3 linked regions of the Sus scrofa genome follow. The protein of the gene in region 2 purifies or fractionates together with the protein of the main gene of each other region. This does not show direct contact. Links are inferred from orthologs where the notes say so. Each region holds a gene or a part of one and is shown on either strand. Other genes may lie near its edges.

Region 1 (3,587 bases), on a different chromosome or scaffold from region 2:
GATACCTGTCACACACACACTTATTAAATAGCATCTTATGGTCACTATTTCAGTCATATCAAGTTAGGGCACATGTTTTTTTCTACAAAGTTAACAGAAAAAAGAAACAAAGCAAAGAGTCAGGCTTCCAGGTCCAGCTCTGCCTCTATCTGCCTGTGAGACACAAAGTTAACTCTTTCAAAGGCCTCAGACTCCTCAACTATAAAGCAAAGGGGCTGAACAAAATGAACTCTAAGAAGCATTCCCATAAAATGGGGTTTTGCTAAATTTCTGAGAACATAAGTTAAAAAAAAACCCAATAGCTATGAAAGCTCATTCTGATTCTCATCACCAATAATACTGGTTACACAGAGGGCTTTAAGGCAAGGAATCACCGGTGGCACTGGCAGGACGGAAACGGGCTTCTGCTGGTATGCAGTCCAGTCATGGGGGGTAAGCTGCACGGAAGACTGTGCACACACAAGCCAGAGCTTTGGAAAGACATCACAGAGACAGTGACACAATACACAGCTCTGACAAGTTCAAAATATACCTGAGATGAAAATACAACCCAGAACTCCAAACAGCTCACTCCTTCACCACAGACCTGGGGCCAACACACTTCTCTGCACCACATCCAGTTCCCAAGGCCAACTTCCTTTTCAGATGTAAGTGCATCTTTTACAAAACCAACACCAATTTTCAAAAATCAAAATTCACTTATATTACATTGTACTTAGCAGAAAAAGTGACTCTATCTTCTCTGGTTCCAAAATTTTCTATGCTGGCACAGATTAACCAAATAAAAGACTAATTGCAGGAAAGTACACCAGACCCCATAATGTTGCATTTACACTGAAAACATACCACACGGTTGACAGGGGCAAGGATAGGGTCATTTTTCACAAAGGAATTCCCAAGGCTCAAGTCATAACAAATTTCCATAATGGAAACTTACTTTTGAGTATCAAACTGGACAGGGAAAAAAACCACTTTTAACTATTACAATGAAATGTTCTAAAATAAAAGGAATTATTAGGCTGGTCAAAAAGCAGTGACTAGAACCAAGAAGCATTATTAGGCTTTCTTGAGAAGATACTGAAAGAACCTATGAAGACTAGAGTAAAATAAACACAACAGAGCCATGCAGCAGACACGTAAACTGACTGAAATCACAGCACTTTTATTCTCATTGCTTATTTTATATTATCTCGAAGACAAATGGATTTTGATCTTCCAAAATGCCAAAAGCGGCCTGAAATGTTATCAATTCCTTTGCTTAAAACAATGAGGACTCTTCCCCGCAAATACTGTAATATATGAAAGGGTTCAGTGTGAGATAAATTACACATTTTATAACCCAAATCACCACAGCGCACGCCCTGGTATCCCATCTAATGACATGACAGACACACACAAGCTATCGAGCAAGAATCTGTTAACGGTTTTATTATTTTTATGTTAAATACCATGGGACAGGATTGTAAGGGTGAAAAACTCAGTCAACAACTGCCTCACGAGGGATAAGAAAAATTCTGCCATGATATTAGCAAAGGTAAAGGAGAAAATTTACACTGTAAGAGGCACCATTTCCCCACAGAATACCTCTTGGCATTTCCTGAATGAGTGGGATTAGCAATCTAAATAAATCATATTTCAAGAGGTAACAGCAACAGATAAAATTTAAAGGGATTATTAAAATAACATTTACAAGACTCTGAACAATTCTTGAACTCTTATTAAAACCACAAAGAAAGAACAATTTTTTATTTATGAATTTCATAAAGGACTGAATGTGCAACTGACACCTGCTAGTGATGGTCTGGCCACGTACACTCTGTCCAGGCGCCGAACACTCTGCTCTTACTGATTTCTAACCGTGAGACCTTTAAAGGCGAGGCCTACATGACGCTGTACACACAAAGAATGGTCACCGTGGGCCACACTACCAGTGAGATGGTAGGTAAACAAATCTTTTTCTGGTCGGGAGAAAAAAAAAGAAATAGCACTCTGCATGCTTCACTCTACAAGATGAATTTTCCTAGAAAGAATCCAATGAAAATGGCTGCAATTACAACAAGGAGTGAAGGAAGAGGGCTGGTGACATTATCTCTGAAGGACGCGGCTGAGGTGGATCCAGGTTTTTCCGAATGTGCTACCTTTCTGAGCCTTAAGCCTTCATCCTAGGAAAAAATATATGCACAAAGAAAGGTTTTAAAAACGAATATGCATAAGAGGACTGAGCTACAAATGAACAGACAAGGAAGCAAAGTAGGATGCATGCAGCTTGGTGACAACAGGGATGAGCCGCTAGCTGGCCTAATAAAACTTTCTAGGGGGACAGAAACGTTCTAAAAGGGGGCTCCAGGGATGGCTGTGCAATTCTATAAATTTACTAAAAATCAGAGCTGTATACTCACAACAGGTGTCCTTATGGAATATAAATTACACCTCAATAATGCTGATTTTTAAAACTGGAGCTAAGAAATATACTCCCAAAAAACTGAAATATCAGCTACAGTTACATTTACATAGAAGGAAAAATCCTACTAAAATGAACACAACTGAAGAATTCTCTGCATGCAGTTATTTCCCAGTGGCCCACAGTAGCTTGACATTGCTTACACCTGTCCTAGCCCTGAGCCACAGACTACCAGAAACAAAGTTAGGTCAGATAGTCTGAGTTAGGGCACTCGCACAGCAGAGGTTCAGGGGACAGATAGGACCTGAAAGGGTTTGGGAGAAGGGGGAAGTTCAGGACAATATTTAAACGTAGTGTTCTGACGTGCCCCATGCAAAGCAGGAGGTCGGCACAGGGTCTGGACTGCAGAGCAAATGCAAAATCCTTTGTTAATGGCAACTACAAGTACAACAGATGAGGGATGCTGTGTACAGAATCACATCTGAGGCCCCACACCTGGACGGGACTCAAAGTGACTGTGTTCCTCCAGACGAGCAGCTGCTTGGCTCTCACGGCTTCAGTCCCCCTGGCAGAACTACTGACAGCCTATAAGCTTAGGGACAAGGCTCCTCATAAGAAAAGAGCAGTCCCTCAAAGCAGGAGGCTAAAGGAGGACCTCAGGGAGGGGGCAACAGGGACTGACAACTGTTTACTAGGCAGCAGGCATCGGCTGGTCATCCCAACCTGATGACCAGCAGGGCAGATTTTCACCTCCTTGGTGCGAGCTCATTTTTACTTTTCACACTAATTCATCCAGAGTGTTTACTAATTCCAACTCAAAGAGTCCACCTGACACCATACTGTTCCATTTGCATGACTGGGTGTCCTGAGGGTTGTGGGTTTGTGGTGTTGCTCTAACTAGTCCTATGTAGAGAGAATGGTGACTCTAAGTCTCAGAAAGAACTTGACACTCCTGGGGACTCTGACTCACTAGGTCTTGGGGGGGGGGTATCTGGACATGGGTGTCTGAAAAGCTCACTAGCAGGTTCAGATTAAGAACCACAGCGCTGGGGGCACAGGTGAGACCCACTCAAGAAAGGTAACCTGATAACAAGTTACAATGGGCCTCACACATAAACTGTTCAGGTCAGGAAACCAACTCTGTAAACTAGAGGTCTTAAAGGTTCTTCTGTTTATCTTTTATACA
Region 2 (4,868 bases):
TGATCTGATCCCTGGACTGGGAATTTCCATATGCCACAGGTGTAGCCCTAAAAAAAAAGGCAGAAAAAAAAAAGTCATCTCTAGTGGGATCTGAATGACTCCGTTTATGTATGTGTTTTCTAAGTCACTTTAGTTACATTATTTTGGTTGTTAAAAAATATTAAATGATATAGTTATCTTTTAAAGGAAAATCTTCCTATCATACTGGATTTATCAACTATATACACTGACTAGACAATATTGATAAAACAATTTCTTTATCTTTTGATTCTACAAGATCTTTTTCTTTTTAACCAGTTAACTACTTAATTAAAAAGTCAACTAACCACTGAATTAACTACAGAAAACATTTTTTAATTAACCAGGTTTTTACTGATTCCCACATCTCAATAAGCAAGTCACCTCTCCGGCCCATAAATAAAAAGCAGCCCTTTCACTTCACTAATATAGACATCACAATCCAACCAACTGGCTAAGAAAACTATCTTTGGTGTTACATCTTCACTAATATCTTTTAACTATTTAATTAACCAGTAAATTGAAGTCTAAGACATTCATTTACTTTTTGCAACAAATGCGAATGCAGACATGTCACTTAAAAAGATAGATTGCAGTTTTATGAAGCATTATGGTATTTTTTTTTTCCTTTGGCTTTTTAGGGCCACACCTGTGGCATATGGAAGTTCCCTGGCTAGGGGTCTAATCGGAGCTACAGCAGCTGGCCTACCCTGCAGCCACAGCCCCGCCAGATCTGAGCTGCGTCTGTGACCTACACCACAGCTCACGGCAATGCTGGATCCTTAACCCACTGGGTGAGGCCAAGGATCGAACCCGCACCCTCAAATATACTAGTCAGATTCATTTCCACAGCACCACAATTTTAAGTCTTCTAGAAGAATCTAATATAAAATAAAAATTAAGAGAAGAAAAATTGCCCCAGGATTCAAAGCTTTTATTATTTGGAAATCCATATAATGATCTAAGAAATTCCTTAGATAGGAAACAGGTTTCAAAATACCAAATATTACCCATATTATAATGTCACCTCTATTCCAAATTATTACAATATTTAGGGGAGTTCCCGTCATGGCACAGTGGTTAACGAATCCGACTAGGAACCATGAGGTTGCGGGTTCGGTCCCTGCCCTTGCTCAGTGGGTTAAGATCCGGCGTTGCCGTGAGCTGTGGTGTAAGTTGCCGACGCGGCTTGGATCCAGCGTTGCTGTGGCTCTGGCGTAGGCTGGTGGCTACAGCTCTGATTCGACCCCTAGCCTGGGAACCTCCATATGCCACGGGAGCGGCCCAAGAAATGGCAAAAAGACAAAAAGACAAAAAAAAAAAAAAAAATTTAGAAGATTCTTTTGTACCTGCAATGAATACAAATAGGCACATCTTCATGTTCCTGGTATTTCCTCATTAAGCTTATCATATCCAGAATAGAATCAAATGATGAGGGAACATCATGGTCTGGCCAGTTGACATAATGAAATTGATAAAGCCTACGAGATTCCTTCAAGAATAGAAATTCAATAATTATGAAAACACAGGTGCAAATTCTAAAGCATATAGAAAAGCTGTACATCTCACCTTACTGCCATTTCTAAGATATGTATACTGTATTTAGCACCTTAAAAAAACAAACAAACAAACAAACAAAAAAATAGCCTACATTTATAGACTACTTATCACATACCAAGTATTGATCTAAGGGCTTCACATGTAACAATTTACTTAATCCCCATTTAACACCACGGGGACGGTATCATTAATACTATCCTCATTTTATGGGTAAGGAAATTGAGACAGAAAGAGTAATTTGCAAACTGTTTCAAAGCAAGTGGCAGATGAGGGATCTAAAAGCTGGCAGTCTTACCTCCAAAACTTGTACTTTAACTATTACACTACATATACTATTTAATTAGTCTAGAGTATTAAATGGATGAGCAATACACCATAAGCACTGTTAGAATCTATTGTAATTAGAAGGCTAATAGAATATTTATTACTTTAATTGATAAACATAAGGCTCAAGATACTAAATAATGTATTATATCTGATTTTCATTGTTTTATATAACTAAAAAAACAAATCTCCTTAACTATGTAAGATAGTATACTATTTATATATCTTCTCTTTAAAAACTATCCTTAGAAATAACCTCTCATTGGAAAATACTTACATTCTGAAATTCAAGTAATAGTGTCCTAATGAAGTAGTCAGTTCTTGCCTGTTCAGCTTCCTAAGTAAAGAGAAACACTTGTTATTAAGAACATAAAACAAAAACATACACACCAAAACAAACAATAACCTCATATTTAAAGTTCACAATATAAAATTAACCTTTAAAATTCCAGGTGTGCCTGATAATTATAAAAACAACCATTCTGAAAGTCATCAATTTGTTTATCTAAGTTCTACTTGGAACTTTTTTTTTTAAGCAGAAGTATCTGTTAATCAATTACTTAGCTAGGAGTCTATCATCTAATAAAATATCTGCAAAGTAACAGCCATCCCCAGAATCATGTAACAGATTATCACCTACACACAAAATGTCACTTCTTAGGACCTATAAACATCTTCAACCATTTTATCTTTCCATAAAGCCTTATTAAAATTCAACTATGAATTAACTGGATGCCAACTGGGGAAGGAAAAGGATGCATTCGGAAAATCCCAAATTATCATTCTGATTGATGACAACATAACCATGTTAAAAGTCTCTTACTGTCATCTGTTAATGTATTGGAATGAAGCCTCTGTATCAGTTTCTCACTAAGCAAACTATTCTCTTTGCCTTTTTAATTAAAATTACAAATAGTCTACACAGTGATTGTCAAGAGCAATAAGGTATGCTGCTTTATTAATAAAAAATTCAGTATTACTCCTTTAATTTTTTTAAACTATAGTAGTTTATTTTGAACTTTTTAAATAATAAAAAGGGGAAAGTATGTTTTTATATTCATCGAATTGGAGTATGGATGAAAACATTGGACTTAACCTTTCCTCACCTATAAAAGGTGAGATAGAGATTTTTGTTTTTGTGGGCTTTATTATAAAGTCTGTTTGCTCAACTTTGCTGTTGTTTTCACAAATATGTAAATTAATGGATGTGGTTGTACTCCACTAAAACTTTACTCACAGAACAGGTAGTGGGCTAGACAAACCCAAGGATATTGTGCTGATAATTTGGTCTGAGTGGATATATGCAGCAACATACTTCTCAGCTCCTGCTGGCCAGTCCCCTACCTTTCACCAACACTTTCCCCCACTTCTCATCCTTAAACTGAGAGAGCTCCTGACTAGTGTCCTCTCTCAGTCTCAAACACTCTGACTGCCAAGTAGAGTCAAGTCACTTACTTCGGTTATTTTTAATAACTTGCTTTCTATTTACAAATTTGGTTTTTGGGAGTTCCTATTGTGGCTTAATGGAAATGAATCTGACTAGCATCCATGAGGACGCAGGTTTGATCCCTGGCCTCACTCAGTGGGTTAAGGATGAGCTGTGGTGTAGGTCACAGACACCACTTAGATATGGCGTTTTTGTGGCTGTGGTCAGGCTGGTAGCTACAGCTCTGATTTGACCCCAGCCTGGGAACCTCTGTATGCCTTGGGCGTGGCCCTAAAAAAAAAAAAAAGATTTTTGCTTTTATCAGTGATAACAAATACTGACTTGTCTGAAACAACAAGACAATTACTTCCCATTTTGAAACCCTGAAAGAAAAATTTTGCTTCTCAGCATACATCAGTCCCAACATTGACAAATCAAACCAGCTGTTACTAATCAAATCAAACTTATTAAGAGGACTTTTTTTTTTAATTAAAAAAAATATTATGGCCACACTCGCGGCACATAGAAGTTCCTGGGCCAGGGACTGAATCTGAGCTGCAGCTGCAACCTACACTACAGCTGTGGCAATACCGGAGGACTTCTTAAAATTACCTTTTAGCGCAATTAAAAAGTCAACCAGGAGTTCCCATCATGGCTCAGTGGTAACAAACCTGACTAGTATCCATGAGGATGCGAGTTCGATTCCTGGCCTTTCTCAGTGGGTTAAGGATCTGGTGTTGCTGTGAGCTGTGGTGTAGGTTGCAGATGCAGCTCAAATTTGGCATTGCTGTGGCTGTGGAGTAGGCCAGCGGCTACAGCTCCAATTCGACCCCTAGCCTGGGAACTTCCGTATGCTGCAGCTAAAAAGTAAAAGAAAAAAAGCCAACAAAAAAGCCAATTCATCTTTTTCCAAACTATAAACTATTGCTTACTTTTTCTATTCAGTTGTTTACTATTCCTGATCCCCAACTGTTCAAAAATTTCAAGTTGTTTTGTTGTTTACTATTATAAGCACTATATGTTGTCACTTGAATTGTGACATTCAGTATAATTATCTTATTACATTTAAATTTACAAATGTTCAACACAACCACACTGCACAGAACTAGGCTTCCTGGACTAAGAACTTAATATTGTAGAACACTTTCTGAATTGGTAAGGCAGAAGGTGTTTCCTCACAGAAATACAATATAGTTATGTATTAGTTTTTATTCATTCCAAATAATATGAAATGTTTTATGATTTTTAAAATTTTTATATTTAATCAACAAACAATTAATTATAACCAGGATTTTAGAGTACTGACTGCATATTAAATCCAGGCAGTTTACTATGAATTACAGTTAACATTACAAAAATGAGACTGCATTTAAAAGGAGTCTGTGTAACACAATTTTAGTCCTTTTCTACATCAACCTAGAAAACACTAAATTTAGGATACACATCAGGAATTCAGGGGACATAAGTACAAATAAATCATACAGTTAGATTTCTTGAATTAACCAATGAAAAATAAAATTATAGAAATTATATCTCATTT
Region 3 (4,868 bases), on a different chromosome or scaffold from region 2:
GAGAAGGGAGTCAGAACAGTGGCTGGTCTAGCCTAAGGAGCACTTTAATATAAATCTGGACTTCTTTTCTTGATCTTTATAACTTCCCAAATGTTTTCCAGTTTTATTAACTCCTTCTCATCCCCATCTCCTTCCATTTAACTGGCCAGAGTAAATCCCATCCATGAAGAAGAGCTTGTGCACATGTGCTTTGAATCCAAAAAGACTTTAATTACCCTGGGCCTCAGTTTCCCTATTTGTAAAACAAGGCAGATGAACCACATTACAGTCTCCAGGGAGAATGCAAGTCCCCTCTACTTCTCACCCTCCCTTACTGCTTGGTCCAGGAGTGGTCTGAGAGCCCACCACCATGGAAGTGCTAGACCCTAATGAGGATAGAAGGGTTACCCTTTCCAGCCATGGTTTCAACAGTGGCAGCAGAGATGAAAAGAACAGGAAAGCAGGCTGAACCCCTGACTCCTGCAACAAGGATTTGCCTAGGAGTTCCCTGGTGGCCTAGTGATTGATGGATCAGTGCTGTCACTGCTATGGCTCAAGTCACTACTGTGGCATGAGTTCAATCCCTGGCCCAAGAACTTCTGTGTGCCATGGTGCAGCCAAAAAAGAAAAGAAAAGAAAAGAAAAAAGAGAAGAAAAGAAAAGGAAAGGACTGGCCTAATAGATAAACAACATGGTTCTACTGTATAGCACAGGGTACAATATTCAGTATCTTAATAATAACCTATAATTGAAAAGAATATGTGAGTTCCTGTCTTGGCACAGGGGAAATGAATCTGACTAGGAAACATGAGGTTGCGGATTTGATCCCTGGCCTCTCTCAGTGGGTTAAGGATCCAGCATTGCCGTGAGCCGTGATGTAGGTCACAGATGAGGCTTAGATCTGGCATTGCTATGGCTGTGCTGTAAGCTGGCAGCTGCAGCTCCGATTCGACCCCTAGCCTGAGAACCTCCATATGACCTAGGTGCAGCCCTAAAAAGACAAAAGATTAAAAAAAATAAAATAAAAATAAAAGAATGTGCAAAGTAACACACACACATATATATGAATCACTTTGCTAGACACAAGAAATTAACACAACATTGTAAATCAGCTATACTTCAATTTAAAAAATAAATAAAAAGAACTAGACTAGCATGTAATTGGGCACAAAGGCATAACTGTCTAGACTCAGGGCCCACATGGTTCCCAGTAAATAATCTCGCAGGTTAAAAGAAGAGCATGGTCATTTGTAGATGGGAGCTGAGCCAAGGAGTTTACTTAATAAAACCCTGGCATTTTCTGCTGGAAGAAAGGCAACATCCTAATATGCAAACCCAACCTTTTTCCGTTGTAACTTTTGCTTTTCCCTGAATTCTTCCATCTTCCTGGCCTCTTCTCTTAGAGTCTGTGCGAGCTGAATGTGACTTTGGGCCACATTGTCTACTTCTGCAAAAAGAATTAAAAAGGAAACAAGATCTATACATGTCCAAATTCAAATATACAAGACTATACAAAAATTAAATATACCAAATACTGAAGCAAGTGGTAAAGTTAACCTACCTCATTTGGTCACTAGCATTTATTGAGCCCCTTTATGTGACCAGCATTGTCCTGGCCAAGACCAAGTTGGCAAACCTTTAGCTTAGCTTCCTACCACTAACTGCTACTAACCTAGTGTATGCCCAGGGCCGGGGAGAAGTTCATGGAGCTTGCATGACAGGACACATTACTAAACACACCACAATCTCAAATTCGATCCTGTGTCTCATTAGATGATTCTAAGGTTCTTTCCATTTCTAACATCTCATGAGCCTGTAAGAAATTTACCCTAGGAGTTCCCATCGTGATGCAGTGGAAGCGAATCCAACTAGGAACCATGAGATTTCGGGTTCCACCCCTGCCCTTGCTCAGTGGCTTAAGGATCTGGCATTGCCATGAGCTGTGGTGTAGGTCTCAGACGCAGCTCAGATCTGGCCTTGCTGTGGCTGTGGTGTAGGCCAGCAGCTGTAGCTCCGATTAGACCCCTAGCCTGGGAACCTCCATATGCCTAGAGGGCAGCCCTGAAAAGAAAAAAGAAAAAATTTTTATCTCTGAATAGAAAGCTTATTGGTATTTTTCCTCTTATTTTTTAAGATCTCTGCAATGATCATGGCTTACTTTTCTACTAGAAAAACTGAAATTTTTATTGTTCTTTTTCTAAGAAAACAAATAAGGATGATGTTATAGCTAGAAAGACTGAGTGAGCTGACCTAAGAAAAAATTTCCAACTTGTGTTTGTCAAAATAACTTTGAATAATGTTACAAGACACATGAGAAACTAGAAAAAAAATATTTGCAATTTATGTAACCAAGAGCAAATAGCTGTATTAAAAGAGCTTTCAGAAATCAAAAGAAATGCATATTTAGTATTTTAAAATTGGTTACAGAACATGAAATTTTTTTAAATTGTCTAAATTGCCACTAAACATTTGAAAAAGTGTTCAACCTTAAAACGATTGAAAAAAACCAAAACTTTAAAACACAGAAATGGGAGTTTCCGTCACAGCTCAGAGGCTAACGAACCCGACTAGCATCCATGAGGACATGGGTACGATCCCTGGCCTCACTCAGTGGGTTAAGGATCTGGTGTTGCCATGAGCTGTGGTGTAGGTCTCAGACACAGGTCAGATCCCGCACTGCTGTGGCTCTGGCGTAAGCCAGCAGCTACAGCTCCAATTGGACCCCTAGCCTGGGAACCTCCATCTGCCACCAGTGCAGCCCTTAAAAAAAAAAAAAAAAAGACACTTTAAATAAATCCCAGAAATGTATCACATTTTACCTTTCAGTTTGGCAAAATTTTTAAAGTGCAAAAATTCTTGGTACTTTCAAGTGTGGGGAAAAAGTACTGCTGGTGGGGAAGAAATCAGTACAACCTTTCCAGAAGAAATGTGGCATTTGGTAGAATAAACCAAATTGAGGCAGATCAGTAAGAACTGAAACAGAACGATGTCCAGAACCATTCAACTAGCTACAGAAACACTTCAAGCACATACTGTGCCACATAAAGTCCTTAGCTTGGAAGCACCAAGAACAGAATGGCTTAAAGGCACCAGCTTGGAGAACACTGGAACTGGACAGGACCCCTTGAAGACCAATGCCAGGGCCTCTCCCTGGATTTCCAGTCTGAGAAGCACTGCCCCAAGTAAGTCAAATGCTCATGATGATGTGCAAATGGGAATGGTTCTCCAGCCCATTTCAATTCTGCAAAGCTAGCCTTCACCTTAGGAGCTGCTCTCATTTTTTTTTTTTTCATCCATTATGAGATTGCTGTTCAATTTTTTTTTTTTTTTTTGGTCTTTTTAGGGCTGCATCCACAGCATATGGAGGCTTCCAGGCCAGGGGTCAAATCAGAGCTATAGCTGCCAGCCTACACCACAGCCACAGCGACGCCAGATCTGAGCCGAGTCTGCAACCTACATCACAGCTCACAGCAACACCAGGTCCTTAACCCACTGAGCAAAGGCAGGGATCAAACCCACAACCTCATGGTTCCTAGTTGGATTCGTTTCTGCTGCACCATGACACGAACTCCAAGATTGCTGTTCGAATTAATGACAGACGCACACACACACACAGAGAGCTTGCCAAGGACAATAAATATATTTTTAAAGAATCACTTACGTTGCTTGAAGACTTCAAGGGCCCGCTTCAGGGTGCTAAAAAACAAGCACATATATAATTTCAGTTCTGGAAATTGTCTATACAATCTTGGTATAATTCGATCCTATTTCTCATGAGACGATTCCAAGGTTCTTTCCATCTCTAAATCTCATGCTTCTCTCTACCCACATCTTCTCTCTCCCAGAGCCTATGGTCTAATCTTTGCCCATGAGCCTGAGAAGACAGCAAAAGATCGGGCGTCTTCAGTTTCCTCTTTTTTTTTTTTTTTTTGTCTTTTTGCCTTTTTTCTAGGGGCTGCTCCTTCGGTATATGGAGGTTCCCAGGCTAGGGGTCTAATCAGAGCTGTAGCTGCCGGCCTATACCACAGCCACAGCAACTCCATATCCGAGCCACATCTCTGACCTACACCACAGCTCATGGCAACATCATCGTCAACCCACTGAGCAAGGCCAGAGATCGAACCCGCAACCTCATGGCTCCTAGTTGGATTCGTTAACCACTGCGCCACGACGGGAATTCCTCAGTGTCCTCTTTGTTACTCTCTCAGTCCAAGCACAAGAATCATAAATGTTTCCCTGTCCACCTGGGTGGAGCCAGATACCCAAATTCTTTGTGTTTCATTTCCCCCAATGATAATATAGGAGTTGCGGTCCCTTTCTCATTAGAATACTAGTCATTTTTTAAAGAATGGTAATTAGAAATATGGATACAAGCAAATAAAGGGAGGATTCAAACTCTGGCTCCTGGTCACCTCCTTTTTCATCCATTCATCAATCATCACATACTTATTGCACATAAAGTATTGGCCAGGCACTGTGTCACATATTGATGATTTGGTGGTGCAAGACAGACTGGAGAGTCTTTTTTATTTATTTATTTATTTATTTATTTATTTATTTTTGGTCTTTTGTCTTTTGAGGGATGCACCCGCAGCATATGGAGGTTACCAGGCCAGGGGGCGAATCAGAGCTGTAGCCACCAGCCTATGCCATAGACTCAGCAATGCCAGATCCAAGCCTCTTCTGTATCCTACACCACAGTTCACAGCAATTCTGGATCCTTAACCCACTGAGAAAGGCCAGGAATCAAACCGGCAACCTAATGGTTCCTAGTCGGATTCATTTCCACTGCGCTACAATGGGAACTCCCAGATTGGAGAGTCTTAGTGGAGGAGGTAGACATTAAACACACTGATTTAGCATCTATCACTGAAGAACAAACTACCACA

Evidence for each region.
Region 1: the proteins of PTPN12 (region 2) and VAPA purify together in Homo sapiens (affinity purification with mass spectrometry; 3 studies listed by BioGRID and IntAct, counting the BioPlex papers as one, with this or other methods). This does not show direct contact. The link is inferred for Sus scrofa from reciprocal best matches to the Homo sapiens genes PTPN12 and VAPA.
Region 3: the proteins of PTPN12 (region 2) and PSTPIP2 purify together in Homo sapiens (affinity purification with mass spectrometry; 4 studies listed by BioGRID and IntAct, counting the BioPlex papers as one, with this or other methods). This does not show direct contact. The link is inferred for Sus scrofa from reciprocal best matches to the Homo sapiens genes PTPN12 and PSTPIP2.

What each region holds. Positions count from the first base shown.
Region 1 is NC_010448.4:98,211,193-98,214,779, forward strand, and holds the end of VAPA (vesicle-associated membrane protein-associated protein A), read right to left. Parts: intron 2,163-3,587; coding exon 2,004-2,162; 3' UTR 1,143-2,003; downstream 1-1,142. UniProt on the Homo sapiens protein: Endoplasmic reticulum (ER)-anchored protein that mediates the formation of contact sites between the ER and endosomes via interaction with FFAT motif-containing proteins such as STARD3 or WDR44.
Region 2 is NC_010451.4:102,511,026-102,515,893, forward strand, and holds part of PTPN12 (tyrosine-protein phosphatase non-receptor type 12), read right to left. Parts: intron 2,240-4,868; coding exon 2,180-2,239; intron 1,511-2,179; coding exon 1,368-1,510; intron 1-1,367. UniProt on the Homo sapiens protein: Dephosphorylates a range of proteins, and thereby regulates cellular signaling cascades. Dephosphorylates cellular tyrosine kinases, such as ERBB2 and PTK2B/PYK2, and thereby regulates signaling via ERBB2 and PTK2B/PYK2.
Region 3 is NC_010443.5:95,654,186-95,659,053, forward strand, and holds part of PSTPIP2 (proline-serine-threonine phosphatase-interacting protein 2), read right to left. Parts: intron 3,676-4,868; coding exon 3,641-3,675; intron 1,427-3,640; coding exon 1,320-1,426; intron 1-1,319. UniProt on the Homo sapiens protein: Binds to F-actin. May be involved in regulation of the actin cytoskeleton.